Linked DNA regions of Nothobranchius furzeri. The main gene of each other region encodes a partner of the protein of the gene in region 3 in a complex. Links are inferred from orthologs where the notes say so. Each region holds a gene or a part of one and is shown on either strand. Other genes may lie near its edges. The genes, in order: f2r, proteinase-activated receptor 4, f2, serpine2, serpind1, fgg and fga.

Evidence for each region.
Region 1: the proteins of f2 (region 3) and f2r are in contact, whole or in part, in a crystal structure (PDB 3LU9), measured with the Homo sapiens proteins. The link is inferred for Nothobranchius furzeri from reciprocal best matches to the Homo sapiens genes F2 and F2R. Residues at the interface, in NP_000497.1 of Homo sapiens: Phe382, Arg383, Pro386, Gln387, Glu388, Leu389, Leu390, Cys391, His406, Cys407, Tyr410, Trp413, Lys415, Leu423, Arg425, Arg431, Thr432, Arg433, Tyr434, Ile441, Met443, Glu457, Asn458, Leu459, Asn506, Thr510, Lys517, Gly518, Gln519, Arg541; in NP_001983.2 of Homo sapiens: Ala33, Thr34, Asn35, Thr37, Leu38, Asp39, Pro40, Arg41, Ser42, Phe43, Leu44, Leu45, Arg46, Asn47, Pro48, Asp50, Lys51, Tyr52, Glu53, Pro54, Phe55, Trp56.
Region 2: the proteins of f2 (region 3) and proteinase-activated receptor 4 are in contact, whole or in part, in a crystal structure (PDB 2PV9), measured with the Mus musculus proteins. The link is inferred for Nothobranchius furzeri from reciprocal best matches to the Homo sapiens genes F2 and F2RL3. Residues at the interface, in NP_034298.1 of Mus musculus: Glu385, Leu386, Leu387, Cys388, His403, Tyr407, Trp410, Asp411, Arg428, Arg453, Glu454, Asn455, Leu456, Trp501, Gly502, Asn503, Trp508, Thr510, Gln516, Arg538, Ile539, Asp559, Ala560, Cys561, Glu562, Gly563, Asp564, Val585, Ser586, Trp587; in NP_032001.2 of Mus musculus: Asp54, Lys55, Pro56, Asn57, Pro58, Arg59, Gly60, Tyr61, Pro62, Gly63, Lys64, Cys66, Asn68, Asp69, Ser70.
Region 4: the proteins of f2 (region 3) and serpine2 are in contact, whole or in part, in a crystal structure (PDB 4DY7), measured with the Homo sapiens proteins. The link is inferred for Nothobranchius furzeri from reciprocal best matches to the Homo sapiens genes F2 and SERPINE2. Residues at the interface, in NP_000497.1 of Homo sapiens: His406, Tyr410, Pro412, Trp413, Trp455, Arg456, Glu457, Asn458, Leu459, Glu509, Thr510, Ile542, Asp562, Ala563, Cys564, Glu565, Trp590, Gly591, Glu592, Gly593, Cys594; in NP_006207.1 of Homo sapiens: Val225, Arg288, Ser355, Ala356, Thr358, Thr359, Ala360, Leu362, Ile363, Ala364, Arg365, Ser366, Ser367.
Region 5: the proteins of f2 (region 3) and serpind1 are in contact, whole or in part, in a crystal structure (PDB 1JMO), measured with the Homo sapiens proteins. The link is inferred for Nothobranchius furzeri from reciprocal best matches to the Homo sapiens genes F2 and SERPIND1. Residues at the interface, in NP_000497.1 of Homo sapiens: Lys384, Ser385, Pro386, Gln387, Leu389, Leu390, Cys391, His406, Cys407, Tyr410, Pro412, Trp413, Asp414, Lys415, Leu423, Arg425, Ser430, Thr432, Arg433, Tyr434, Lys440, Ile441, Ser442, Met443, Asn458, Leu459, Lys470, Trp511, Ala513, Asn514; in NP_000176.2 of Homo sapiens: Glu75, Asp76, Asp77, Asp78, Tyr79, Leu80, Leu82, Ile85, Phe86, Asp89, Asp91, Val305, Glu306, Met307, Thr308, His309, Gln327, Asp343, His361, Lys362, Arg388, Thr457, Val458, Gly459, Phe460, Met461, Pro462, Leu463, Ser464, Thr465.
Region 6: the proteins of f2 (region 3) and fgg are in contact, whole or in part, in a crystal structure (PDB 2HWL), measured with the Homo sapiens proteins. The link is inferred for Nothobranchius furzeri from reciprocal best matches to the Homo sapiens genes F2 and FGG. Residues at the interface, in NP_000497.1 of Homo sapiens: His450, Pro451, Arg452, Arg461, Arg486, Ala489, Ala490, Leu493, Ile530, Val531, Glu532, Arg533, Cys536, Asp546, Asn547, Met548, Phe549, Cys550, His605, Phe607, Arg608, Leu609, Lys610, Lys611, Trp612, Lys615; in NP_068656.2 of Homo sapiens: Pro439, Ala440, Glu441, Thr442, Glu443, Tyr444, Asp445, Ser446, Leu447, Tyr448.
Region 7: the proteins of f2 (region 3) and fga are in contact, whole or in part, in a crystal structure (PDB 2A45), measured with the Homo sapiens proteins. The link is inferred for Nothobranchius furzeri from reciprocal best matches to the Homo sapiens genes F2 and FGA. Residues at the interface, in NP_000497.1 of Homo sapiens: Phe382, Lys384, Ser385, Gln387, Leu423, Arg425, Tyr434, Glu439, Lys440, Ile441, Ser442, Met443, Lys470; in NP_000499.1 of Homo sapiens: Trp52, Pro53, Phe54, Cys55, Ser56, Asp57, Glu58.

What each region holds. Positions count from the first base shown.
Region 1 is NC_091757.1:44,245,667-44,249,645, forward strand, and holds the start of f2r (proteinase-activated receptor 1), read right to left. Parts: upstream 2,801-3,979; 5' UTR 2,611-2,800; coding exon 2,532-2,610; intron 1,276-2,531; coding exon 56-1,275; 3' UTR 1-55. Other genes in the region: ras GTPase-activating-like protein IQGAP2, read right to left, coding at 3,200-3,313, 3,867-3,975. UniProt on the Homo sapiens protein: High affinity receptor that binds the activated thrombin, leading to calcium release from intracellular stores.
Region 2 is NC_091741.1:64,408,393-64,412,421, reverse strand, and holds the start of proteinase-activated receptor 4, read right to left. Parts: upstream 2,801-4,029; 5' UTR 2,650-2,800; coding exon 2,544-2,649; intron 1-2,543. UniProt on the Homo sapiens protein: Receptor for activated thrombin or trypsin coupled to G proteins that stimulate phosphoinositide hydrolysis. May play a role in platelets activation.
Region 3 is NC_091743.1:82,272,541-82,276,040, reverse strand, and holds part of f2 (prothrombin), read left to right. Parts: intron 1-1,828; coding exon 1,829-1,955; intron 1,956-2,313; coding exon 2,314-2,481; intron 2,482-2,564; coding exon 2,565-2,738; intron 2,739-3,138; coding exon 3,139-3,317; intron 3,318-3,500. UniProt on the Homo sapiens protein: Thrombin, which cleaves bonds after Arg and Lys, converts fibrinogen to fibrin and activates factors V, VII, VIII, XIII, and, in complex with thrombomodulin, protein C. Functions in blood homeostasis, inflammation and wound healing.
Region 4 is NC_091753.1:19,313,805-19,317,962, reverse strand, and holds the start of serpine2 (glia-derived nexin), read left to right. Parts: upstream 1-1,358; 5' UTR 1,359-1,587; intron 1,588-2,377; 5' UTR 2,378-2,388; coding exon 2,389-2,656; intron 2,657-2,766; coding exon 2,767-2,994; intron 2,995-3,352; coding exon 3,353-3,550; intron 3,551-4,158. UniProt on the Homo sapiens protein: Serine protease inhibitor with activity toward thrombin, trypsin, and urokinase. Promotes neurite extension by inhibiting thrombin. Binds heparin.
Region 5 is NC_091757.1:55,843,805-55,847,908, forward strand, and holds the start of serpind1 (heparin cofactor 2), read right to left. Parts: upstream 2,801-4,104; 5' UTR 2,704-2,800; intron 2,613-2,703; exon of another isoform or gene 2,564-2,612; 5' UTR 2,563-2,563; coding exon 2,300-2,562; intron 2,121-2,299; coding exon 1,477-2,120; intron 1,399-1,476; coding exon 1,250-1,398; intron 1,163-1,249; coding exon 1,038-1,162; intron 1-1,037. Other genes in the region: pi4kab (phosphatidylinositol 4-kinase, catalytic, alpha b), read left to right, coding at 3,002-3,110. UniProt on the Homo sapiens protein: Thrombin inhibitor activated by the glycosaminoglycans, heparin or dermatan sulfate. In the presence of the latter, HC-II becomes the predominant thrombin inhibitor in place of antithrombin III (AT-III).
Region 6 is NC_091744.1:17,238,710-17,242,838, forward strand, and holds the start of fgg (fibrinogen gamma chain), read right to left. Parts: upstream 2,801-4,129; 5' UTR 2,707-2,800; coding exon 2,644-2,706; intron 2,568-2,643; coding exon 2,520-2,567; intron 2,440-2,519; coding exon 2,253-2,439; intron 2,121-2,252; coding exon 2,036-2,120; intron 367-2,035; coding exon 236-366; intron 1-235. UniProt on the Homo sapiens protein: Together with fibrinogen alpha (FGA) and fibrinogen beta (FGB), polymerizes to form an insoluble fibrin matrix. Has a major function in hemostasis as one of the primary components of blood clots.
Region 7 is NC_091742.1:90,961,135-90,965,207, forward strand, and holds the start of fga (fibrinogen alpha chain), read right to left. Parts: upstream 2,801-4,073; 5' UTR 2,695-2,800; coding exon 2,644-2,694; intron 1,487-2,643; coding exon 1,379-1,486; intron 1,173-1,378; coding exon 989-1,172; intron 867-988; coding exon 721-866; intron 309-720; coding exon 210-308; intron 139-209; coding exon 1-138. UniProt on the Homo sapiens protein: Cleaved by the protease thrombin to yield monomers which, together with fibrinogen beta (FGB) and fibrinogen gamma (FGG), polymerize to form an insoluble fibrin matrix. Fibrin has a major function in hemostasis as one of the primary components of blood clots.

The DNA.
Region 1 (3,979 bases), on a different chromosome or scaffold from region 3:
ATGGATGGATGGACGGACGGACGCCGGGGGTTTCTACTCTGGTTTGAAAGGTGTCTCAGTGCTTTAGATTGAGTCTGTTATACTGGCTCCCCAGGCCGGCATGAATGTTCTCCATCTTGCTGGACCGGCTGCTGATGGTGGACCCACTGGTTCTTGAGCTGCGTGTTTCTGAGCTGCTGTCTGCTCGTGTCAACCTCCGACACCTGAGCATAGCCGTAACCTGCTTCTGGCACTGGGAAGAGCCGTAGTAGTACAGGACCGGATCCAGGCAGCAGCTGATGCTGCTAACACACAAGGAGAGCAGGTAGGCCTTGTAGGAGCAATCGTTGGAGGAGTGGGACATCTGAACGTAGTGAGCCATCAGGATGACGTTTGTAGGAGTGAAGCAGACCACAAACACAAGCAACACTACCACAGTCATCACTATAGCACGGGTCTTCTTGGAGCGGTTGTCCACGTTGGCCGCAGCCAGAGCCTGGATGACCCGTATGTAACAAATAGCAGTGATGATGAGAGGGATGAAGAAAAAGACAGAGGAGTAGATAGGAAAGAAGTAGAGATAGAAAGCCTGGAGCTTCTCCACATCCTGCACGTCGTGGCAGGTGGTGATTCCCAGGTCTGACAGGTAGATGGTCTGATCTGAGATCAGAAGGGGGAAGATTCCTCCCAGAGACACGAGCCACATGGCAGCACAGACAGCTGCAGCCGTCTGGGGGCTGCGCCACGTCAGGGACTTCATGGGGTAAACCACAGCCAGGAAGCGGTCCGCACCGATGCACGTCATGAGCAGCACGGAGCAGTACATGTTGCAGTGGAATGCTGCTGTGACAGCACGGCACAGGAAGGAGCCATAGATCCAGTTGTTGCCGTGGTAATGGTAGGTGATTTTAAAGGGAAGGAGCAGACCAAATAGAAGGTCAGAACAGGCCAGGTTCAGCATGTAGATCACAGCCGGCTTCCTGGGACGTATCCGATGAACAAACATCACTGCGGCAACGAGGTTGAGAGGCACACTGATGATGAAGACCAGGGTGTAAATGGTTGGGATGAGGGCTGTTGCTAGGTGACCCTGGAGGAACTCTTTGGTTTCCTCTGAGACAAAATAGAGTTTTGAGGGGTGATGGTGGTGTCTTTTTACGGACTGTGGTTTCAGTTCTGAGCCCGAATCCCCATCACCGCTGACATCATCAACAGCAGACAGGTCAACGTAGTCCACAGGTTCATCAGTCACCATGATGAAGTGACCCGAGAACGTCCGAGGAATGAGCACCGAGCCTTCAGACAGAAAAGAACGAAGACAGAAGGGTTTTAGTGTTTGTTTTACTGCTCAGTATTCCGCTCTTTGGTTCATAACACCTTCAGAAATCTGCTGCTATTTGTTTTTTTAATAATTATATTTTTACTAAAGGCCTCTTCCCTGTTCTCTCTGGTTTGCTTCAGCTTTCAATTGAAGAGATGATTTTGTTCAGGATTAAGCTACTACCAGCCAGAGTAAGGTAGTATAATTTATAAAATTATTTTCTATAAAAGCATCAATAAAACGTAAAAATGTGTTTGATGCTACAGTTAATCGTTGAAAAGGAACAAAACTTACCAACAACGAAAGAATCCAATGTTTGTTTTCTCTCACAATTTTCTGCAAACGTTATGTTGCAAGAAATGCATCAAGACATAATTTATCATTATGATTTATACAAAGTTCTCTTCTTCTGTGGTAACTGATAAGTACCAGTTCTAAGCAGGCAGCAGCCACTTCTGTGAACAACTTGAAGTGTTTTAATGAAAAGTTTAGCATTGTTTGGTTCAAACTGTAAAAAAAAAAACAAGTTTTACTCATTTTGGTACATTTCAGGATTTGCTCATTCTGAAACCATCTGAATAAACACTTTTCACAGGAGAAAGGGTAAATACTGGAAATTTGCAAAGGATGTGAGCAAATCAAAGTAGAGAAATCATGAAGATTTATAAAACTGTTTTAAGGTGGTTTACATTACGTGTGATATAAAAGCATGCCAACAATGTTTAAAATATTAGTATTAAAGTTTAGTTTAACATGTATTCAAACACTTTTTAATGTTTCTGACCCATCGAGGTGAAATATTTTGCACAAATCTACACTTATCTATTTATTTGGTTGCTAATTTGTGTACAAATAAAATTCTAGACACATTTTAAAATATTCATAAATTCAGTTTAAAGCTCTTTCTTTAACCAATGAGACATTCTGTACTAAAGACATCACTTATTGCAGCAGAGAGTGAAATAATTGAATATCTGAAAATAAATGTGCTTTAATATCAAAATCTTCTAATTTGAAAATTATGTATCATTTATCTTTTGAATGAACATTAATACATCCAAGTATATTTCATTACCACGATAATTTCCAACACCCGATGCATTTTTCTCCAAGCAACAAAAACACAAACTTCACCTAAATGGTAAAAACATTCAAATCTTTTTTTTTTTTTTGGTCATGAAACTTTCAGTCGACTCAGTGGTGACATAAACACTATAAAACGAGTACTTACCATTGTGAGAGGGAAGAGCTGGAGTTGTGTGATAAAACAGAAACACACTTATTAATAAAAGCATTGCGCCAGTGCACATCTTATCCTTTTGTTAGACGGGTTTGCAGAGAGAAGAATGTTTCTTTCTCTAGAGTCTAGGAGGGAACCTCTCCTCCTCCGGTCTGCAGATCTCCTCCCCTTCAGCTTCACTCGTCAGGTCAAAATATTTACTCCCGAATTTAAACCAACCAGCAAAATTTGCCAAGAGGAAAATAAAGTAGAAAGAAAAACATTCTGGACAGGAGTAACTTTATTCGGCACATCATTTACCTGCATTAGGACACAATTATTAATAGCCACGTATTAAAAATTCATAGAGTAGTTTTGACATTGAATTAAAACATTTAAATGTTTAAAAGGCACCGGTAGACTGTAGTAATCCTGTATGCGCATGTCAGATGGAACGCCGTTTTCCAGCTCCGCGCTGCTGTTTCCTCATAAGTTTTGCATACAAAACATAAATATTGTAACAATTTTATTTGTAAAAGTAAATTTCATTTACAATCAGCACATAGAAAATCAGAACGTTTTATTCAGGTGTGATCCATTAAATTAAATCTGATGAAATAAGACAATTCTAAATAATTTGTTCCCATCATAAGGAGGAATTCCTGCTTTCTCTTCTTCGTTTATTTCCCATAAAACTTCTTGTTCAGAAGGAAGATGAGTAGATTAACGTTAACTTTGGCTTTGTCGAACATCTTCATGACGGCCACGCCTTCGTACTGCAGCTGTAGGAGGTCCTGGACACAAAACACAAAATGATTAGGAATCATTCGCCCTAATAAACACAAATTCTTGGTTTCCATGACGTATTTGGGGCAACGGTGGCACAGGAAGTTAAGCGCTCGCCCTGTAATTGGAAGGTTGCAGGTTCGAGCCACGCTCAGTCTGTCGCTGTCGTTGTGTCCTTGGGCAAGACACTTAACCCATGTTGCCTGCTGGTGGTGGTCGGAGGGACCGGTGGCGCCAGTGCTCGGCAGCCTCGCCTCTGTCAGTGCGCCCCAGGGCAGCTGTGGCTACATTGTAGCTCATCCCCACCAGTGTGTGAATGTGTGAATGACTGATTGGGTTGTAAAGCACCTTGGGGGGTTCCATGACTCTAGGAGGCGCTATATCAATATCAAAAACAGGCCATTTACCATTTAACTAGTGCATGAGTTCTTATCGTTATAGAGAAGCATTTGGTAAAACCATGCCCACATTCTCATACTTCCCGTCAACAGGAAATGGAACAATCGGTCACAGAGCCTTAACAGTTTCAATTAAATCCCTATGCACTTGGGAAATGTTTACCTGGAAATGAAGCTGGACTTTTTCCATCTCAACCCCCATAAACTTGGCCTTCACCTCAAAATCTCCAACTTCCTCAGTGGGCGAAATGTCAAACATAACATTTTTAAACCTGA
Region 2 (4,029 bases), on a different chromosome or scaffold from region 3:
TTATATGTGCAAGCAAACACCATTGCACGGAAATGTAACTGTTGTTCTACACCTGTTAAAGTGTCATTATTTAAAGCATACTGCACACCTCTGCACACTGCACATCTGTGGTCATATTATAAAAAAACTCCAAATTGCACAGGTTACAAGTGGCTTACAATTATGCAATGAGAATCCTCCTCAAAATTCCCAGGGGAGGAAGTGCTAGTAAAATGCTTGTTTCTGTGAGGGTGTGCACATTTAAGGCACTTCTGAGAAATTTAATGTTTACGTTTATGACATGGCTGGAAGAATCTTCTAATAGTAATATAGTTGCACTCTCGAATCCCACTGTGAGTTGCTCTCGTTATTTGTCTAAGCGGAGAAGGCACTGGCTAAAATGTTTAGGTAGATATGACTCAGTTAGTTGCGTCGTCCCTTACTTCCGCTGTAGCTACATCCTGCGATTTTATATAGAATTTCATTGGTATTAAAGGTTTCATGTCTTGTGCTTTATTTTAATTGATTATTTTATCTGTGTGTTATTTCTTTTTAAATGGACTTTAAGTCTGGCAAAAACACGTTTGAAACATCAAATCGATCAAGTTAACAAATCTTATCGAATATATAAAACTCTAAATAATAAATCCAGTCAAACAAATCTAATTAGTCAATAAAAACAAAATTTCAATTATTCTCATCAATCTTGTTGACCAATTGAATCAATAATATATTGTAAATACATCCAATTAACACCAAAAGTGCAATTAAATAAATCAGTTAACTCAATCATATAAATATAATCAACACACTTTGTTTCTCTATATTGCTGATTGCATAACACCACTGGGTGTTTTGTCTTTTTTTACACAGTAAATTTTTATCTTAAATATTTCAGTTTTTTACTATTTTGATTTTTGCACCATGAGTTATCAGTAAATGTCATTTAAATTCAGTGCAAGTCTTGTACATATGGCAGTCTTCACAATAAAAATAAATTGAATTCATCGGCAGATTGGTGCTGCATCTGCAGTGATGTGGGTGTTTTATCGGTCTGTCGTGGTGAAGAGAGAGCTGAGTTGGAAGGCACAGCTCTCGATTTACCGGTTGATCTACGTTCTTACCCTCAACTGTGGTCACAAGCTTTGGGTAGTGACCAAAATAATGAGATCACAGATGCAAGCGGCCAAAATTAGTTTTCTCCACAGGGTAGCTGAGCTCTCCCTTAGAGATAGGGTGAGAAGCTCGGTAACCTGGGAGGGGCTTGGAGTAGACCCGCTGCTCCTCCATATCGGGAGGAGCCAGTTGAGGTGGCTCAGGTTAGGATGCCTCCTGGACGCCTCCCTGCCTGGTGAGGGTTTCCAGGCATGTCCAACTGAACCCAAGACATGTTGGAGGGACAATTGTTTCTCGGCTGGCCAGGGAGCATCTTATTTCCCCAGAGGAGCTGGCCCAAGTGGCTGGGGAGAGAGAAGTCTGGGCCTCTAAGCTTAGGCCGCTGACCCCCGCGACCCAATTCTGGATACGGGGATAAAAAAGGATGGATTGATGGAATTAAAAATGAATGAAATGAAATTTAATTGAATTTATTTTAACTGAATCAAGAACTCGTCTTTGAAGCCTGTTAGGGACTGTTACAATGACTTGTAGATATCTGAGGATTTTTGATTCCAGTGTTTTCTTTTAGGTGTTTTCTTTGATCTTTTCTATGCTTACATTTTAGTTTCTTCTTAAAGAGCAAGTCACCCCCTACCAGATTCTTACTCAACTCCCACTTCCTGTTTGAAAAATGCAACAAATGCTGTTCCCTAGCAGACCAAGAGGGCGGAGCCGCTAACAAATATACACACTCACAACATTGTGACATCATAATGTACCATCTAACATCATAGTGTACCTCTTAGCCAATAGCGATGGCAGATTTAAATTCGAATGCAGTGCAGAGTTTTTGCCTGATGACGGTGCATCGCTGACAGTTTTAGGCAGAATATTTTAATTTTAACTAAGATGCACTAAAGTGCCGAATTATTGACTACACGGGTCTACAGCACGATCAGACACTCATTTATATAGTTTATCAGCAAGAAAATGTTGATTTGGAGTGGCTTGCTCTTTCAACATTGATTTCCTGCCTGTCTTACAAATATCTGGGAACTGACCTTGTTGAAATGCTGACTTTTGAAGCCCATGGACTCAAGAAAGCGCATCAGAGAATATATTTGTATCAGAAATGCTTGTAATGTGGATTCTACATTTATTCTTGAGTCTTTAAAACATTACCTTCATCTGTTGGTGCAAACTTTGTTAAGTACTTGTCTGCATGACGTGTTTTGGTCTAGACCAAAGAGATGAAGTGAGATAAGTTGGTTTCTAAAAGGAAGCTCAGACTTCTCTTCACATCCGCTTCGACTTTAGTTTTAACTTCAACAAACATTTTAGCAAAAGAGAAAACATATTCCAGAGATCTTGATTCATCTCTGATCCTCCAAAAGAAACCTGACTAAAGAGATGAGAGAAAGAACACAGCCAGTCCAGCTGTGTGCACCACGAGGAAGGAGACTTACGGACAGGCGTGACCGAACATACATCTCCAGGATGAGAAGATGGAGAGACACTGCAGATGGATGACAGAATGAACACAAAGAGGGGAGTCCCAACAGTCAGCTTCATTCCTCTTCTGTGGTTTTTCTCTGCTGTACTCACTTTTCAGACAGTTTAGACCACAAATAGCTGCTTCTGGTTTCCTCGAGTTTCAGTCACAGCGGTACCAGTCCAGGAATGGTCCAAAAGCTCTCAGTAGAACCTAGACTTGTTCAGAAGCAATATCAGTGTGTCCACAGTGGATCAGCAATAGCAGGACTTGCATCAGCTTTGTGAGGGTCTGAGGATATCCGTCTGATCCACCCTCTGCTGGCCTCGCCCACTCAGCTTATGTTATCCAGATGTGTTTGTCTGTGTTTTAAACATGTCTCTGAGGACTTTCTCAAGTTTCAGCTTCTCTCTGTGTACATTCTGCTCTTCACTTTCTGGTATGAACTCCGATCATAGCTAGGGTCAGACTGGATCTACTCAGGGCTGCTGCTCTTCTAGAACTCAGGGCTGTGGCAGCACATAATACATGACTCAGGGGAAACGGAGTTGATGTGCATTCCTGTTCCTTCATTTAACAGGAGTGGCCTGCTCTAACCTAGCCCCTGAGCCACAGTGTTCCAAAGTCAGCGCAGCATGTCCCCCTACTTTTTCCAAAGTCGATTTTTGTCTCCTGCACTTATTACCATCCAAAACCTATACTACACTATGTTAAATAGACACTGGTTGAGGACTATGACCAAGCGGAAGACAACCGCTTGTATTGAAGCCTGTTTCCCATTAGAATGTCCATAAGCTCATCTATTGGCTCTGCTGATACTTGCTAGCATGTTATCCCTGCATGCATTCATGCATTCCTGACATTGCATAAAAGAACCTCTAGGCTGTATTTTTAATACATATTTATTGCATACTTACTGTAAATCCCCCCCCCCCCCGGTTACATCTCCAGCGCTCAGTCCTGCAGTAGCTACCACATAAAGGCGGACCAAAGTTTCCAACCCGGTGAAGAACACCCATTCTGACAGATGTGGATGCTACGCTGGTGCCACCGTTAGAATAACAAAACTACATTTGTCACATTGTGAGCCTGGAGGAGGTTTGGACCCAATATGCAGACACCCAGAACGACATGAGGCAGGAGTGGATGTAAATGAAAACATTCCTTTATCAGGAAGGAGAACAAAAATGTTCCAGAAGGGCAGGAAGCCAAAAACCAATGTCCTGAAACCCTGGAGACAAAAAGCTCATTTAAAGAGCTCAAAAACCTAGATACCTATTGACGAGGCACAAAACAACGCTGAAACCAAACAATGGACTGACAAAACACTGTAACACAGACAGGGTTTTATACACTGGGGAGGATGAGAGGGAGATGAACTGCAGGTGTGTGGGGAGAGAGAGACCAGGTGAACTCAATTACTAATCAGGGAGGAAACTAACATGACCTAAGAATAAAAC
Region 3 (3,500 bases):
AATGTCTGTTTTTTCTTTCTAAAATCAATAACTAGCACTTGTGTTTTGCCAACATTGGGTTGTAGAAAATTTGCATCACACCGTCTAACAAAGGAGTTAACTTCCTCCCTGTAAGCCAGGTCGTCTCCCCGGGAGATCAGGCCCAGCAGGGCAGTATCATCAGAGAAATTCTGTAAGTGACAAGACGGTAAACTGTGCCTATAGACAGCTGTATACAGTGTAAATAAAAAAGGAGATAAAACTGTCCCCTGTGGTGCACCAGAGTTCGTAAAAATCAAGTCCGAGCACTTACCCCCAAACCTCACAAACTGAGGCCTGTTTAAGAGATAGTCTAAAATCCAGGCAGTGGTGGAATTGTGCAGCTTAAAATCCAATAACTTCTTTCCTAAAATATGGGGCTGAATGGTATTAAAAGCACCGGAAAAATCAAAGAACATAAGTCGCACTGAACTGCTGGCTTTTTCAAGGTGTTTATAAATAATGTCCAGCAGATACAGAAGGGCATCATCCACACTCACACCCTTCCTATATGCAAATTGCAAGGGGTCTTGGAAGGAAACAGCTTGTTCTCTTAGGCATTTAAGGACAACTCTATCAAAACATTTCATTAGGTGTGATGTCAGCGCAATAGGCCTAAGATTGGACAACGTAAATGGCCTGTATTTGATATAGCGCCTTCTAGAGTCCTGGAACCCCCCAAGGCGCTTTACAACACAATCAGTCATTCACCCATTCACACACACATTCACACACTGGTGGGGATGAGCTACAATGTAGCCACAGCTGCCCTGGGGCGCACTGACAGAGGCGAGGCTGCCGAGCACTGGCGCCACCGGTCCCTCCGACCACCACCAGCAAGCAATGTGGGTTAAGTGTCTTGCCCAAGGACACAACGACAGCGACAGACTGAGCGGGTCTCGAACCTGCGACCTTCCGGTTGCGAGGCGAGCACTTAACTCCTGTGCCACTGACGCCTGTTTTCTTAGGGATCGACACAAGACAAGAAGTTTTCCACATTAAAGGTATTTTAGCAGCAGACAAGGACAACATGAAAATGTAGTGAAAGTCCGCTGCAAGCTGCTCTGCACAAACTTTAAGGGTGCGTGGATGGACACCATCAGGGCCTGCTGCCTTGTTAGGCTTTAGCTGACTAAACTGCTGCTGGACATCTTCAACACTAAAGCTAATCTCTGAGCATGCCTTCTCAACCTGATCCGTGGCAAGTGCCGATTTAAGTTTGTTGTGTAAAATGTGTAAAATCACGATCATCAAATCTGGCAAAAAACTGGTTCACCTCATCCACATCCATCCCGGTGCTGTGTAAACCTGTCTTACCCCCACAGCCAGTCATGGTTTTCATCCTGTCCCAAAGACACTTAGAATCAGAACCATCAATAGAGGTTTCCATCTTACCTTCATATTGCTGCTTACTCCGTCGGATCGGTGTCTTAAGCTCCTTTTGTGCCACCTTAATTTGCGAGCATGGTTTAGCTGTGGATAATCTGGTACAATAATTCTTTGTAACCTTGGCTGTCAAATAAAGAGCTAGGTTGGTTAACTGGTCATCAGATGGTTTACTGATGTGTCAGCTGTAGGTTTAATGACCGTTTACTGAGGAAAGTGTCTATTAGTTTAATAAGTAGTTAAGAGATGGACGCATCGGCTGTTGACCAGCTGATTACTAAACAGTGAGCTGGTTATTAGTTTAAAAGCTGTTTGTCAAAAATAACTAAATTATTTAATATTTTTCTCACTAATAGAAGTACAACAATCTGACCTTTGAACTAACTTGACAACTACTAACCAGAACCTGCTGGTTGTGTTGTAGTGTGTGGGGTGCGCCCCCTTTTTGAACAGGTAAGCAGAGTGGATAACGGAGAGAAGGAGATGCTGGAGTCCTACAGAGAACAGCGGATCGTTGGGGGGGACAGTGCCGAGGTGGCCTCAGCACCATGGTAACCACATTTATTACCTCCTGTTACAATAGTAACCACATGTATCACCATCTGTCACCATGGTAACCTCTTTTTATTAGCTGTTTCTATGGTAACTACACTTATTACCAGCTGTTGCTATGGTAACTATATTTTCACCAGCTGTTACCATAGTTACCACATGTATCACCATCCGTTACCATGGAAACTAAATTTTTTACCAGCCATTACCATAGTAATCACTTTTATTATCAGCTGGGAGAATGGTGACCGCATTTACAAGTCATTACTGTGGTGACCTTGTCTTAACCAGCTGTTACCATGGCAACATTTATAGTCAGCTGTTGTTGGTCCCTGATGGGTTTGTGGTGGTTTACAGGCAGGTGATGCTGTATAAACGAAGCCCCCAGGAGCTTCTGTGTGGGGCGAGTCTGCTCAGTGATCAGTGGATCCTGACTGCCGCTCACTGCATCCTTTACCCCCCCTGGAACAAGAACTTCACCATAAATGACATTCTGGTCCGTTTGGGGAAACATAACCGAGCCAAGTGAGATGTTCTGCTGGGATAAATTCTGGTCCAGTCGCACATGGAACTCTTTCAGACATGAAAATGTTCTCCTGCTTTTGCAGGTTTGAGCGTGGGATCGAGAAGATTGTTGCCATCGACGAAATTATCATTCATCCTAAATACAACTGGAAGGAGAACCTGAACCGGGATGTGGCGCTGCTGCACATGAAGCGACCCGTCACCTTCTCAAACGAGATCCACCCCGTCTGCCTGCCCAGCAAGCAGGTGGCCCGGACGTAAGGCCAGCCGTTCTGTCTTCTCAGTGCTGAGACAGGGTTTTAGGTCTGATCTGGTCCATGTGAAGGACCAGATCAGCTTATGGGACAACCAGGTTGGGTTCTACTAGTGAAGTCTAGCTGTCCTCCTGACCAGAGTCCAGAGACAACAGTTAAATCCATTATTGTGTTCGTGCTCCTTGTTTTAGCTTTAGGTCAGAGGTGGGTCCAGCTGGGTGGTGGTCTCCTCCCCTTTGGGGGTTTAGTTTAATAACTCAGGTAAAAACAGACTATCCTCTAACCAGTGCCTGGTCTGGTCCAACCCTTCACACTGGGTGGATTTTTTTGACTCCAGCCGAGGGATTGCTTCTGGTTCTGTCTACGGTTTGGTGAGTCCTCTCTCTGGTTCTCTTCCCAACAGCCTGATGACAAATGGCTTTAAGGGTCGAGTGACGGGCTGGGGGAACCTGCAGGAGACCTGGAACCCTGCAGCCAGGAACCTACCCACAGTCCTCCAACAAATCCACCTTCCAATCGTGGACCAGGAAATCTGCCGGCAGTCCACGTCGGTCAGGATCACAGACAACATGTTTTGTGCAGGTAATGACCAGTTCTGGGTTGGTTTAGAACTTACAGGCAGACCAGCGGTTCTGGTTCTTCTGGAGGGTTTTAGGATCAGTAACAAAACTAGGCCCCAAACCATCATCCCTCCACCGCCGTGCCAACAGCTGGGATCAGTTTTCTTCATGGTGTTTATAATTGGAAAACATTTATGATGATCTG
Region 4 (4,158 bases), on a different chromosome or scaffold from region 3:
AAAACCTTTGTTTTGTTTGATGATGAAAGTTGGTTTCTAAATGGTTTCTTGGATCCTCCTCATTATTATTCTATTCAGGCCAAGAGGTTCTGAAAAATCATGGTTGGATGCTGGCCCGTGCCATTTTCCTCTGTTCTCTCAGAGATTAAAAAGCACAGTTTGAAACTGGAATGACATTGAGAATAATTGTACTGCACAGCTTGCCATTTGTGCACTCTGACTACCTCCTAAAAACTTATTTGTTTTATTTTGTTTTTAATGCAAATTCCATTTTTGCATCCAAGCTGAACATATCAGTCCCTCAAAGACAGAATTAGACCCGTGAAATCAGAGTCATTCACTCAGTGAAGCTAAACTACAAAATGAGTTTATGATAATGGAATATCAGAATCTTTGTTATCAGAAACATTTATGCAGCCTGTGTGTGTAATCATCCATCTCCTGAAACCTCAGAGACCAACCCGTGATCATTTTTGGTGCAGGATGTAGCAAACTTTGTATTGCTTCTCAGCCTTTTTCTTAATCTAGCCTATCAATTAAAACATTTTAAACCTAGAAACTGTTCTGAAGAAGTCCCCTGCTGCCCCGTATTCCTCAACACAAAATCTCTCTGAGTGCCAAAAACAGTCCATAGGCTGCACTGAATAAACAAATTCAAAACTTATAGATGAAGTTGTTTTTTATGTAATGTGCAATTATGATCCAAACCGAATTTTAGACCAAAAAATTCTCCTGAGGGATAAACATTGTTAAGATTTCTAACACTTTTATGCATGAATTAGGATAACTCCAGTCAGGATTTATTTTTCTTAAATACTTTTCTCTTTTATACCAATCTTTTGACAGGAAATTTGAAACATTTGAGTCAATTTTGAGTCTTTACAAAAATGTCTATCAATTGTTGCACAGCATGCATTTTTATATATTCTTTTTATTTTAACAAACTATATATTTTTATGTTATTAAGCACTTTTTGTGCAAAGATTTGCCGGTTGGGCACACGCTCGGGACTTTTATTGTGAAGAGGTCAGAAGCAGGAATGTGTGTGTGTGTGTGTGTGTGTGTGTGTGTGTGTGTGTTAAGCTCAACTCGCTTAAATAATCACTGTTTGTCATCAACATCAAAACAAAATTCAGTTTTAGATATTGAAAAAACTTATTAAACAAAATAAATCAACACCAAATCAAATTATCTATCTATCTTTCTCTAAAATGTTTTTTTACTGATAGATGGAACATTTCAAGAAGGTTGTGTTTTGTTTCGTGGGGCGATAATGTGAGCTTTACTTTGAAAGTCAGGCGGATGTACACGCTGTCCGGGTCTTATAGTTGTCGTTACAGAGACGCGAACTGCGTGCTCGGTTGTTAGTTGGAAGGCGGAGTTCAGTCTAATAAATTCCTCTGAGAAGCAACGGCGGAGTTGGTAGCAGCGCTCCGGTTTGTGGGATAAAAAGCTAATTTTCTCCTTCATTAACGACACGGACCAACTTCCGCTTCACGCTTGGACGTTTACTTACAACGGACTGATAAAGGCTCCCAGTTTCACCTGCAACAACAAGTCCACTAAAATAGCGTCACCTCCTTATAGGTAAGAACCACCGTCTGTCCGGTTATTTTCCTCTGACGAGGCGTAATTAGCTTGTTAAACAAGCCCAATGTAGTTATTCGCTTTTTTAAAAGCTGCTTTTATTTAGATGAACGTCTCCTAATGTGGAACAAACGCTTCTAGTTGGTTTTAGCGCACATGTTGAGTCCGCTAGATTAAGCTATTTGAGCTAAACTGCCTAAAACCCCATTTTCTGGTTGAAATTTAACTAGTTAACGTCTCAGTAGACTAGTCGTAAGGGAAAGTCAGCTCCTGAGTGGCTCCCTGCTGTTCCCATGCGTAGGAACGAGGAGGGATGCAAAATAGTTTAGTTTAACTAGACTTTAGTCATAACAAACCTTTCTTTGTGTTTGTCACCCACTTCTATCAAATAAGATGAATTTCCCTCAAGATGAAAAATAAATTAAAAACCCAACAGCTTGCAGCAGGGAGAGCAGGGACGCCCCATCTGTCCTGAGGACTCTCCGTAAGTGGAGAGGCTCACAGGGTTTGCTAATGGGCCAGAAGATTTAATTTAGTTTCATCAAACAGAAGCAGAGAGCAGATCCTCCCCTCCCCTTTTCAACACTGATAACATGTGGTCTTTAGACAGCGAAGGCTGATTGGTCAACGCAGAAATAAAAATATTTTAGGACAATAAAGGTGGCCATGGGGAATTAAACATTAACACTTGAGTAAATAAAAATGAGGTAACTTAAAGGATTGCCTGCTGATGTGTTTCCTCAGGATAAAGCAGAGAAGGCGTCTTTTTGTGTTCCTTTTATTGTTCCAGGTGCTGAAGATATGAAAATGAGGAGTGCCTCCTTGTGTTGCCTGCTTGCACTGGTGATGCAGCTTGGCCTTGAGGGTGTGCTGTCTGCAGCTCCATCGTACGGTGAGCGCGGCTCAGACCTCGGCATACAAGTGTTTCAGCAGGTGGCCCGCTCAAAACCTGTGGAAAATGTGGTTCTTTCACCCCACGGAGTGGCCTCCATCCTCGGGATGCTGCTTCCCGGAGCCCACGGGCAAACTAGGAAGCAGATCATCAGTGCTCTGCATTACAAGAAAAAAGGTAAACAGGATGTGCATAGAATGACCCCCTGACCTGAAATCCCAGCCACATGGGGTGGAATCTTAGTTATTACTTTTAGGTGTAAAAGAAGACAAACTTGTTGTGCACAGGACCTTATAAGATGCTGAGAAAGCTGCACAAGACCTTGACATCCAAGTCGAACCAGGACATTGTGCTGCTTGCCAACGCCATATTCAGCCAGAAGGATTTCCCTATTGAGGAGACATTTGTGGCCACAAACAAAGCCAACTTCCAGTGTGAGAGCAGGGCCCTGGACTTCAGCGACCCCAGTGTAGCGGCCAACCAGATCAACGATTGGGTCAACAGTAAGACCAAAGGTACAGATCATTGCTTGGTGCAACTTTAAACCCTGTTTTCAAACCATCACCCTAAAAGTTGCATGTGTAGGTGTGCCTCTGTAAGGGTTGTGTTTAGGTAGTAAAGTATTAGTGTCAGGTTTTGACTTGTTCTTCCTGAATTACCTGGAATGGAGGTAGGTGTTTGCAAAGGCTGGTTTATGTCAATACAACCTAGAGAATCTCATCACACACACCTGGGGTCTATTTCACTACCATTGTTTCTACAATTTTTCTTGCTGTTGGTCAGCAGGTTGTTGCTTCCTCTTTTTTGGTGAATCTAAATTGTGTTGTGATTTTGTTGAGCCTTTTTAATTTCTGGTTGTCATTTTTCCTCCAGGTCACATCCCCAGCCTGATCAAAGAAGACATGCTGGATCCGGCTCTGACCCGTCTGGTCGCTATTAACTCGATCTACTTCAAAGGCTTGTGGAAGTCGTGCTTCCAGCCCAATAACACCAAGATGAGGCCCTTCAACGGGGGGGATGGAAATGTTTATAAGGTTCCAATGATGTCGCAGCTATCAATCTTTAACATAGGTAAGTGAGATGGCTCTGAAATGGTTTGATCTGGTCTGGAAAAGATGACGCGTTCACACAGTGGTTATAAATAAATGTAACTTCTGCAGTGGACCCCCTCTGCTCTGGTATAATCAGTCAATCAATCAATCAATCAAGCAAGCTTTATACACTCACCTAAAGGATTATTATGAACGCCTGTTCAACGTCTCCTTAATGCAGTTATCTAATCAACCGGTCACATGGCAGTTGCTTCAATGCATTTAGGGGTGTGGTCCTGGTCAAGACAATCTCCTGAACTCCAAACTTAATGTCAGAATAGGAAAGAAAGGTGATTTAAGCTAGTTTGAGCATGGCATGGTTGTTGGTGCCAGATGGGCCGGTCTGAGTATTTCACAATCTACTCAGTTACTGGGATTTTCACCCACAACCATTTCTAGGGTTTACAAAGAATGGTGTGAAAAGGGAAAAACATCCAGTATGCAACAGTCCTGTGGGTGGGGTTTCTTGGCACACTTTAGGTCCCTTAGTGCCAATTGGGCATGGTTTAAATGCCACGGGCTACCCGAGTATTGTTTCTGACCATGTCCATCCCTTCATGACCACCATGTACCCAGAGGCGGAGCTGG
Region 5 (4,104 bases), on a different chromosome or scaffold from region 3:
AAATAATGTGGTTCTGTAGCTTTCTCTTCAGCACAGCCGACAAAGGTTTATGATGGGTCAGTCCTCCTGCATGCTCAGATCATTCCCTTCCCTTGCTTGAAAAATTGTTCCAAAATGAAAGTTGAACCCACATCTTTTTTATCTGTGAATTCAATGCCGTTCGGCGAGTCTCAAATAAAAATTTGGGCATCTTACTGTAAAAAAAATACACCATTAATGTAAAAAAGAAACTCTAAATAAACTATGTTCACATCCAGAATCAAACCCAGGTCTTCTGCACGAGAGTCCGACGTCTTACTAGGTGAGCTAAAGCACCAGTGACGTCCTCAGTATCTGTAACGTTTATATCCTTGATGACAGATGAAACAACGTCAAACCAAAGAACGGTTCGGAGTGAAAATGGCTATTTTGTTGCTAATTTGCAGGAAATATCTAGAAGAAAGTTGTACAGAAAGTAGCTAAGGGTCCTCAGAAATGTAGCTAGCTTTGTCACTAGGCGTTAGGAACAGCGACAAAGTGGCACTGCCTCTCTCTCTGCTGCTAAAGCTACGGATAGCAAACGCTACGGGCGATGCCTGAGCGTGAACGCGCATGAAGCAGCCTGCTCGACCCGAGCATCTCTCTTTTTCTGTGATTTTACAGAAAAACAGGCAATCACAGTAAAAATGCCAGGGCTCATTCTACAGGACCAGGGCATTGCAGGAGAATGTATGAAGAAGACATTTATTATTTCTGTACATGTTTTGGCTGTCAAACTTCCATAATGCCCCTTTAAGAACGTAAAGTCTGCTGCAGCACTGGGCTGCCCAGGAATGTTCCTGTCTTTCAATCGGCTTTACCAAGAAGGAATATCGGTCGGTGCTGATGAAAAAGGGATCTCTAGTCATTTTTGATGGCCATAAAGTGAATCCACAGGCAGAGTTTGTTGCTCAGTTTTTTGTGGTGAAGTACATTTAAAAAAAAAACGTCAGCACAAGAATTGTTAAGCATTCTGAACCACTTCTTGTAACTGTGTTTACTTGTGAACTTTTGCTGACCTGTTAGTCATGTTTACGAGCCATTTGTTAACAACAGTTGAAGATATCTCCTGCTCCAAGGTTCTCATGCCGGTGATCTTCCTTGGCAAGGCAATGAGCATACTGAGGCTTCCTGTGTATGGGAGCTGGAGATAAGGAAGGCTATTACGCTGTGGACTGGTTTATGGGTTACTGTCCAGCACGCTTGTCAAAGTTGTCTGCTCTAAAGTTACCTGGAGAACATCACACTCCAGTTCGTGGTCGGCCGCAGCCAGGTAGTTCCCCTTGTTCAGCATCATCGGTACGCGTACGCTTGTCTTTTCGTTAACTCTGAAGTTTCTGTAGTAGGTTGTTTCCTTTGGGAACTTCTGTTCCCATGTCCCTGTTTACACAATCACAGCACACCAACACACTTGTAGATCTATAAAGAATTGAGCACTTGTTTTTATTTTCCACTCACCTTTGAAGTACAGGTAGTTTAGAAGCATCAGTGCCATATTTGGATCCACGCTCTTTAGTGGCTCTCTGATCAGGCCTTTGGTGAGTGTTTCTATGCGACGGTTGGCCTTGGTTAGGAACGTCGGCTCTCTGAAGTTTACCGACTGTGGCTCAGCAAAGTAATAATCTTTTGTTTCTGCGCAGAAGGTGTCTTTCATGGATACGTTCTTCTTTACGTAGACGTCGTTTACGGAGCGGAGCGTGTAACCAAAGTTCCTCCTGAAAAGCCTGTGCGTCAGCTTCCTGAAGAGCTTGTGCACTGTTGCGTTGTCATAGTGATGGCTAGCATTAACAAAGTCAGCAAATCCTAAAACTTCGTAGATCTGATCGTGAGTTTTGGGACCCGCCCCTAAAGACATCATCCCCATGGCGATGGAGATTCCAGCAGGTGCAAGCAGGATGTTGTCGGTTTGGTTGACGTTGTTCCGAAGACTGCGATAAAGGTTGAAGCCAAATCGAGCGTTCACGATGTTGAGTCGCTGAAGGCGGGATCGACCGTGGAACAGCCGCAAGAGTCTGCCCCGGCGGATCTTTGGGTCGGAGGGTTCAGCAAAGATGTCAATGTCCGGCGCTGGTGTGGCTATCTCGTCGATCTCATCCCCCTGACTGGAAAGGATTCATCATCTTATCGTTAACGGTGAATTAATCAGTTCTTTGGTTGTAAAGTGGTATTTCCTAATGAGCATTTAAACATTTTTAAGAACATTTCCAAACATCTTCATTCAAATATTAAAAACTGTGAATGAAAACTTTTATTTTCTCAACTCAAAACCACCAAAACTTACTTGTAATCGTCGCTGCCTGCAGCCAGGATCTTATCAAAATCAATATAATCTTCATCTTCGAAGCCATCAAAGACCAGGTCGTTGGTGACCGTGTTTTCTTTGTGGAACTCCAATGGGATGGCCTCCACGTCTGCTGCGCCTCCTGGTTCTAAGCCTCTGAGGTTTGGTTCGGGGTCGTCGAAGTGAGTGCTGAGGTCTTTGACGCCAGCCTGGGACGGACCGGCCAGCAGACAGACCACTGAAACGACGGTGATGACCCACATGCTGAAGACGGAGAAATTAGCACTACTCAGGCTGAGCTCATCAGTGATTTCTAGGCGTGATGAAAGCATTTTTTAAACGAAGATGCAACGATCTTTTCTGTAGGTAAAATATAAAACGTTTCAGGGTGTTACATGTCTTACCTTCGCTTTGGCTGCTGGGAAGTGCTGTGTTGCTTGTTTTTTAGGACTAAGAATACAGAACTGAACTTTGATGTGTGCTTCTGTTGAACAAATAGACCAGATCAAACAACAGTCCAAAAAGTCAGCTGGATGGCTAAAACCCTTAACTCTTCACTGTTCAGCTCATCTGTCTAATTGATCAATTACTAATCAGAGTTTCCGTGTCTTTATTTGTTCTGGTGTGTGGTGTTTCCATATCTGATGTAACCATATGCAGTTACTCTACATTTTTCACTTTTCTCGTCTGTTTTTGAAACAGTTGACCAGGCGGCTTCCACCGATCAAAGAGGCCAAGCCTCGTCTCCAGAAGCTGTTCAGGGACTTCTGGTTGTACTCTGTGGTCATGGGTTTTGCTGTGGAAGGGTCCGGTGAGTCTACTCATTTCGGTACTGATGATCTTTGCATCTCATGGGAGGCAGATGGACTCAAACACTTTGAGGCCTTTTGACTCCTAAACCACAGGAAGCAGGAAGTGGTAGACGCATGATTGGGACATCCTGTTCTGATGGTCGTTGTCGTCGTCTTCCTCCGCTTATCCGGGTCCGGGTCGCGGGGGCAGCATCCCAACTAGGGAGCTCCAGACCGTCCTCTCCCCGGCCACCTCCACCAGCTCCTCCGGCAGGACCCCAAGGCGTTCCCGGACCAGATTGGAGATGTAACCTCTCCAACGTGTCCTGGGTCGACCCGGGGGCCTCCTGCCGGCAGGCAACACGTTCTCACTCCCAGCGCGTCAAAAACAAACGCTTGGTCAGCCACCCTCCACGTCAGACCCCTGACGCCAAAAGTGCCCTTTTTCGTTACTTATGTGCGAAAAGGGGTTTTTCCCTTATTTGACTGCAGATCCCAATGCAGCGTAAAACTGATGCGATGGAATGTCCGCAGCCAGGGCACCAAACAAGCTCATTGTACCTCACCTTAACCTTATCCTCTTATTTAACCTTCCCCTCACCCCTATCCTAACCTTAACCATCTTGCCAGCGAACACGTTAGTGATGTGTCGATCGCTCTAAAAGCCGGCTCTGTGAAGTGAACGGATGGAGCCGCCTCATCATTGGTCAGGTTTGGACCGAGCCAACGCGAGGGGGAGGTTTCAACTACCACGGTGGAGGTTAAAAGTAGAGGGTATGTGTAACCTCCCCCTCACCAGATGGTATGTTCTAACGTTCTCCTTGGGCGGCAAATACGAAAATTCACAGTCAGACTCTGACTGTCCGAGTCAGAATGCAGGGGAAACAAACGCTTGATCGCAGTGAGAGTAACGTTTTAGGTGGCAAGAGGGTTAAGGTTAGGATGAGGGAGAGGTGAAGGTTATAATAGTGAAACGTTAAGGTTTAGATGCGGTTAAACGAGGTGGTTCGGTGC
Region 6 (4,129 bases), on a different chromosome or scaffold from region 3:
ACGAAGTTCCTTTACTTAATTTGATGAGACTCATAAATGAAAGGTTAAGGCTAAACGATTAGGGCTAAAATGAGCACGTGTCCTCTGCTTGGATGATGCATATTGATTTCAGCCTTTGAATAAACACTGAACTGGGACAAATGTTGTTCAGTTGAGGGCAGATTGAGAAACTTATTGTGAAACAGGAATGGCCTGAAGGTCAGAGTGTGTCAATGTGTCTTTTTTTTTTTTTTACCTGTTCCTGTGGTAGTTTGGATCTCAACTGTGTCTCTGCAGGGTTCACTGCATTTTTGCTGCAGCTGCATTGCAAGCGTCTTCAGATCCCCCATTGTCCTCTCATTAGAGGAGATTAAATCGTTAAGCTCCCTGGAAACAGCGTCACAAACATGGGTTGTGTCTAAAAGTCACTTTATTGCTTTGTAACCACAACTTTGGAAATATGCCAGTAAGGATTGTCATGTTTATTATTGACAGTGGAGACAAATGGAGAAAAAAAAATGAAGAAGAATAAACTAAGAATGAAACTGAGAAAAAAATGGGCTGGGAAATTTCTCAATGGCTTGATTTAAAGGGGACATGATATACAAAACCACCTTTTGCATCCTTTAGTGTTAGCAGGCAGATCTCTACTGCCTCTATAAAAACTCCACATGTAGCAAAAATGCATTGATGCGTTTTTTTTTGTCAGGGTTTGGTTTTGAGAATGATGTGCCTAAAACAATCCGTTTCAAAAGGCCCTCGTTTGTAAGGTCACAAACTGGGAAATTAGAATAGAACCACTTCTCACATGTAAGAGAGGGCTGCTGCTGGAGGAGCAGCAGTTCTACTCCAAGCCCCTCCCAGACATCAGAGCTTCTCAGCCTATAGGAGCCTGAGCAAGGTTGGGTGGGCATGGCCAGCTCCAGTTTGTGATAGAGACCTTGAAACGGCTCATTATGGAAGTTCTGGATCTGACAAATATAAAAATCTCTGAGAAGGCTTCATGTGAGAAGATTTCAGTGCAAACAACTTTAAAAACACGTCTTGTATCGAATATGTAACTTAAGAAAAATAATTATATATTGTATCTGTATAATTTGTTTTGAAATAGATTTTCAAAAAGTTTTTACTTCTTCCAGATGACTGAAATTACTTTTCTATTATGAATGATGACTACAATGTTCTAAAAGGTGTCACAGTTTTTGAGAGTGTTCTTTTTGGATAAAATACAAGACAAAAAAGTAAAAGAATATAACAACTCACTAATACATGAAGCTGGAGGATATGAGTTGTGACGCCTCAAAAGGCATTTATGTCATTTATATTTTATGTTTCATTTAAAGTTATTCATTTGTATGTTTTTAAGTTATAAAGAACAGTGAATAGGTTAAAATGTTAAATGGGAAGATTTTATTTTGAAGGTGAACTTACTAATAATCTCACTTCCTGCTGGGTTACCTGTATTGGTTAATTTCCTGTTTACCTCCTCTTACTGGCTGCTCTGAGAGTGAGAGTGGCATGCGGTCATGCTCTGAGGCTTATCCACAGCCAACCACTTGGGAATGTTGTTAAAAAATACAAAAACAAAACTATTTTATTTGTGTTCCACAATGATTGATTTGTACATGTTAAAAGAGGAATTTGTTTGATGGTCATTTTCTTTCCTCAGGCTAATACAATTACGTCAAGTCTTATTTTGAGCTAGTTTGTGAGGCAATATTTATGTAAACATGATAATTTATTCTGTTCTGTATTTGTTTTCAATTACAGTTTTCACCGCTTGTCAAATGAAGGCTCTAAGAGTAAAAGGTCAACTCTACTCTGACTCCTTTACTATTTGACAAAGGTTTAGCTTGGTGTTTACTCAGAGTTGCTACACTGCAACAGGACACTACATGAGTGTTTTAAAAGAAAGACGCACGCATTAGTTTACTTTCTACAAATAAACTAATGAAAAGATGTGAAATATTGAACTAAAAACTGTAAAATAACATTTAGCTGACATCATGTCCTCACACACTAGAAACATAACGTCTAAATGCTGACCGTAACTCACAGAATTTGCTGTTCTTGTGCAATAATAGTCTTTTCAAACCGAAGGACATCATCCAGCATGCTGGAGGACCTCTTAAAGTACGGATCTGAAAATCCCAACAAACCAGATTAGTGACACAAACAATCCTCTCGTGTAAAATCTCATCTGTGTTTTACTGAACATATAAAACACTAAGGATAAAATCTAAACTGGAGTCTGAACCAGATGATGATGTCACCTGTCAGTGAAGATTTCTGAGCTGAAGTGGCCGAGTCTCGCATGTACACAATGGTTTCATCGGCTCCTTGAGTCAAATTTGTGATGGTCTCCAGTTCTGCTTGCATCGTCTTCAGGTCCTCGTTGACTCCAGGAAAATACCTCAGAAAGTAATCAGCAACGCCACACGTGGTGGGGCAATACTTCCCCTGAATAAATACAGAAACAAAAAGTTAGACTGCAAAAAAAAATCACTAAGTATGAGTTTGTGATGAAGTTAGACACTTACAAAGCCATCATTCATGTTGCATGATGCACTATTGTCTCCTCTGACTTGCTGCACACATAAAAACAAACGTCAGTATAATTTTTCTTCACGAATAAACATTTTACATAAAATTAAAGCCACTTACAGCTGAAGAGAGTGAGAAAAGTAGGAGAAGAACTCCTGTTGTTGCTTCTAGTGATGATGCCATGCTGATTCAGCCACCAGTTTGTGGTTTTTTGGGAGAGTGAAGAGCTGCTGGACTCCGAGGGTTATTTATCTGAACAAGGTCCCCCGATCAACCTTTGATAAGAGTGTCCACATGCAAACATCCCACTCACTTTGTTGTTCCAGACCTGTGAGTCAAACGTCCGACCGCAGCTGATTCCCAGATGTGACGCTTTCGAATGGACAGTTGGGTTTAGAACATCTGCGTGAGTGTGTGTTGGTTAGAGGTCCTGTGTGAATGATGACACAGGTGTGTTTTGTTCTTTTTGCTCATATTTTCCCGTCAAGATAGTAATTTATTTGGTACATTAGTAAAATCTTTACTTCATTGATTTAAAATTGATTTAATGAAGGGCTGCTGGTGAAGTATATGCTACGTTTTGGCCTTCATTTGCAGCTGGTGGCATTTGTGAGCACACTAGTTCTTGAATAACTCCACTGGTGCAAGCTTGACTTTTCTCATATCAGCTGCAGCTTCAGGATAAACATTACCCATTAGGGCAGCAGCAGCTTAACAGGTTGAGCGGGTTGTCCAGTTATCGGAAGGTTGCAGGTTTGATCCCGGCTCCGGACAGAGAATTCTGCTGTTGTGTCCTTGGGCAAGACACTTTACCCACCTTGCCTGCTGGTGGTGGTCGAAGGGACCGGTGGCGCCTGTGCTCGGCAGCCTCGCCTCTGTCAGTGCGTCCCAGGGCAGCTGTGGCTACATCAGGGCTCATTACCATCAGTGTGTGAATGTGTGTGTGAATGGATGAATGATACACTGTAGTGTAAAGCGCTTTGGAGTCCTTACTCTGAGAGGCGCTATACAGGTGCGGGTCATGTATCATTTACCCCCAAAGTATCCCTCAGTAATAATATGTATTAAATAAACCTGAGCTATCAACGGGGCTTGCTGTTCTTTCAGTGTGTCTGCTTTTGTGTTCTTCACTAAATAGGATCTTTTCCAATCTGATTTTCATTTTAGTAAAATGTGGGACTGTACGTAACAAGAAAGGAGAAATTTCATGTATTTTAAACAGTTTTCTACTTTGCTACAAGTTAAAATATGTGATTGTTTATACTGTGAACCCCAACATCTTCTTGAAAGGCTCATGAACTTGGTGGGACTATATGACACAGTCCATAGTTGGTTCATATCTCACAGACAGGGGTTATGTTGTTTCTATAGGTGATCACAAAGCAAAGCAGATCACCATGACACGTGGGGTCCCCCAAGGCTCAATTCTTGGACCACTGCTCTTCAATCTCGACATGCTCCCCTTGGGTAAGGTATTATGCAACATTATCTGTAGGAGCCATATGTGTTTTCATTTTCTTTCTGCATACCTGAGAGGAGGCTTGGCCTCATTTGATTGGTCAATTGATTGTGGAAGCACCAGCCTACTTAAGCCAACACAGATTAG
Region 7 (4,073 bases), on a different chromosome or scaffold from region 3:
GTCTTTCTTCTGACCTCCTACATCCTTGGATTTGAATCTGGTTTCTGCAGCTGCAGTCTGCAGAGAGCTGGTCTTCATCACATACAGCGTCCCGACCGACTCGACGCTCTGGGCCGACTGGGCCTCCAGCTGCCTCATCTGAGGGAGGGTGCCAAGAATGAGTCCGGCTGAAATTCCTCCTCACAAAGGTCCGATTTATCCTGATTTACCTGTTTATCCAGGTTGACGTAGCTCTCCTTGTCCACCTGGTACTCGCTGTACCCACCACAGGAACCTTTGCAGGAACGGAGCTTAATGTCGATGTCAACCTGACAGAAGACAAGGTTGGAGAGATGAATCTGGGCAGCAAATACTCAGATAACCCTGCACCAGTCAGGTAGCTCTGATGTTAATCTATCTATAACTAGACTAGAGTTTTTGGTGGCAGCAGAACAACATTTAAAGCTTTGTGGGAACTTCATGGAAAATTGGACGTTATTTGTTACAGAATGAATTTAAACTCCGGTTAGACTCCTCTGATGTTTGCTTCTAAACAGCAGGAGGATCTTTTGGGTCTAATAGGTGTTTTTGTTGTTTTAGTAACAGGAAATTACCTAATTTAGCTAATAGTTTGATGTTCTGTTTGTTAATCTTTATATTTTCTATGTTCAGATAAAAACAGCTGATTCGTGTCGTTTTCAGGACTAAGACTTTGTTTTTGTCCCTGCAGACTCTCCGTACCTCCAGCCTCTGCATCTCGGTGACCTGGTTTTTGACCCGATTCTTCAGGGCAGCCAGAGTGTTCATCTGATTGTCGATCCTGATCTTCATGTCGGTGATCCTCTGTCGGAGGCTTTGGGCCAGGTCGTAGTAGTTGTTGTTGTTTCCTGTAGTCAAACATGTTCATGATCAGCTCCAACCAAACACCCTCCTACCTTCTCCGAGTCTGTTTCTCCTCGCTTTCCTTCTTAAAGTGTGTCAGATATGAAAGGTTTCTCCTCAAACGGACCAGAATCGGTGGTGAGTCTGTCCCGTAGGTAGTCGTAGGTCTGTTTGGACACCTGGTCGGTGGAGCGATGCTTGGCCTTGTTCTGGTTCAGGAGGCTGCGGATCTTCTCGATCTTCTTCAGCAGCTCATGGTCCGCTTTATCCATCAAGCCCTGAATCCTGCAGCCTGACGGGCATTTGGAGAGCTGGTGGAGCACAAAGCAACAGTTTGAGCGTCAGACACCAAGGAGGGATTAAAATCTGTGGAAGGCTCTTCGTGCCACTAAAGACATTTAATCTGTCATGTGAGAAGTTGGAATTAAGAGTTTCAACGTTGGAGTGATCCTTCCTGCTCTCCTGAGCATCAGCAGCTCTGACGGGTGGATTATGAGGTGATGAAGAGCAGAATTACCCAGTCATCATCGGTGCAGAAGGGCCACTCCTTCTGGGTGGAACATTTGTCTGATCGGGTAGCAGGCTCCACAGGACGGGCTCCTCTCGGGTCAACCTGAGACGCAACCTGTAGTAGATGAAATGGACACTAATGTAGCACCAGAGTGGAAGACCCTAGCACGCACCTGTTCACCCGATGAACCACGTCTCGTTCAGGGGTCTGAAATCTGCGGCTCTGGAGCTACTAGTAGCTCGGTGGGCCTTCCACCACGGCTCCTGGTTACTTTAAATGTAGATAAAATAAAAAAAATGCAGCTTTTCGGTTTTTGTGTCCAAAGACGACATCATGGTTCTCTCTTATAACTGATATTTAGAGAAGATTCAGAGAAACAGTCACAATCCTAACTCTAATCTCAGAAGTCTGAGGCCTTGTTTTACGTTTCTCGGCAAATATAAATGATTTTAAACGCTCCTGCATCAGCTGCAGCTCTAAACCGATGTTCTTCCAGCGGTCTGGGTAGGTCCAGGTGGCTTTGTGGGTTTCTACTGGTTCATCTTAAATTCTAACTTTCTCAGTATAAAACAAACGTTTAAACACAAAACCTGATAAATATTATGAGATAACGAGGAAAACCTCTCAGATCTTCACTTAATATTCACCAGCAACTATTTTAATGTATTCATTATAATGTTCTGAAATGTCCCAGATATTTGGGAAGTAAAAGACGACCTTCTCAGAATACATTTGGTTCTGTTGTCAGAGGAAGAACGTTTGGGAATTTTTGAAATTTTCCTGTAATTTCTTCTCAATAAAACCAGAACATATGTCTTATTTATTTACTCAGCTCAGTCATTTTTTTCCTTCAGATTCAAGTAAATAATTCCGTTTTTTTCTATCAATTTTAAAGTCAGCCAGAAAAATATAATTATATTCTTGTAATTTCTGCCTTTAAATGAAAGATTTTAACATTTTTTACGAAATTATCAGGAAAAATGTAATTTCCTTTTATTCTACATTCACACTAATGGCATCCTCCAGTTTCTGCCCAGCCTTTATTATTATTAATTATTTATTATTATTATTATTATTATTATTGTTATTGTTATTATTATTATTATTTTTATAAAAGCTGCATTTTCATTCAATAACTCGTACAGACAAATAAACATTAAGAGTATCTGGTTCTAGATTTGGTCAAACAGGATGAATTTGACCAGTTAAACCAGTCAAACTTACAGGTGAGATCATTTCATGAATTTTCTAGAGGATAAAGTGGAGCTCACCTGAGTCACAGCAACACACACCAGACAGACCAGTAACCTCATCATCTTCATCTCTCTGGTTCTTCCTCTGAATGTTCCTGCTGCCCCGCTGCCGGGTCTTATCAAGCGTCCGACCTCAGAACCTCCGTCAGGTCCGGTCAGAGTTGAGCAACGACCTCCTGCTCACACCGACCGTCTGTTTGTTGTACTTAGTGTGTCTGAACTCACAAAACTAACACACAAAATACACAAAAACAACCCAAAACACACCGCTGAGTCAGCTGTTCCCACACAGGTGAGTAAAGCTGCAGGAACATCTGACCTGCTGACCCATCAGGGATCAGATCTCTTTTATAAATGTGTGTGTGTGTGTGTGTGTGTGTGTGTGTGTGTGTGTGTGTGTGTGTGTGTGTGTGTGTGTGTGTGTGTGTGTGTGTGTGTGTGTGTGTGTGTGTGTGTGTGTGTGTGCGTGTGTGTGTTTTCTGGGACTATGATGAAATTAGAACAGTTTAACACAGAAACCAGAACCAGCTTGGCTTCCTGGGGCTGGAGGAGGGAGATCTGGCCGTCTGGTTGGGGTCTGGGGTGGTGGGTTGCTGTGCTCAGCGTTGGGCGGGGGAACCTGCTCATCAGCACCCCAGCAGAAAGGGTCAAACTCTGGGAACCGGTAATGGTTGTACCCCATGTGCAGCAGTACCGGGACCAGAGTGAATAGGGTGTGTATGGGGAGCATGAGTGGGTGTCCGGCGTGCATTTTTGTAAGTCTTTGGTTGTATGTGCATGTGTGAGCATAAGGGAGGGAGTGTGTGACTGTGTTTGTGTATGACTGCATATGTCAGGTGGCGCCTTTGACTCCTCCCCTCTCCTGGGACTTCTTTTGATGATATAGATCTTCGCCTCCCCTCTGCCTGCCACACCTGGTGTGGGGTGTGGTGCCTTGGTCTGCCTGAGTGTTCGTGGCTCCCAGGTCAGGGGGTTTAAGATTTTTGGCGTTTGCCTGATCAATCCCGGTGGCTGCCTGGTGGGGTCTGGGTCCCTGGGCTCTGCTGGGTCCCCGGTGAGGGTGGTCGCCCCTGGGCCCCGGGCTTGGCCGGTTGCGGGGTGGGAGGCTGCGGGCGGGCCTGTGGGCTTGCCGCCGATATCTTCCAGAACTCCACCGGCTGCTGGTTGTGGCCACCCGAGGCTTTCCTCTGCGCCTCTCGAGGGGGGCAGGGGCTTTTCTTGTTGCGGTCTCCTTGGGGTTCCTGTGCTCTGGGGCAGCTCCCGGATCTCTGGGACTTGGAGCTCCCTCCATCTCCTACGTATCTTTGGGGGGAAGATCTGTGGCCCCTCATACTCTCTATTGGACGCTCCTATAGAAAAACCTTACATATACAAACGCGTGTACGCACACAGGTGCTCACATGGTGCTCTCATAAGTATGGACTTGGGCACGTTCAACACACGTCTTA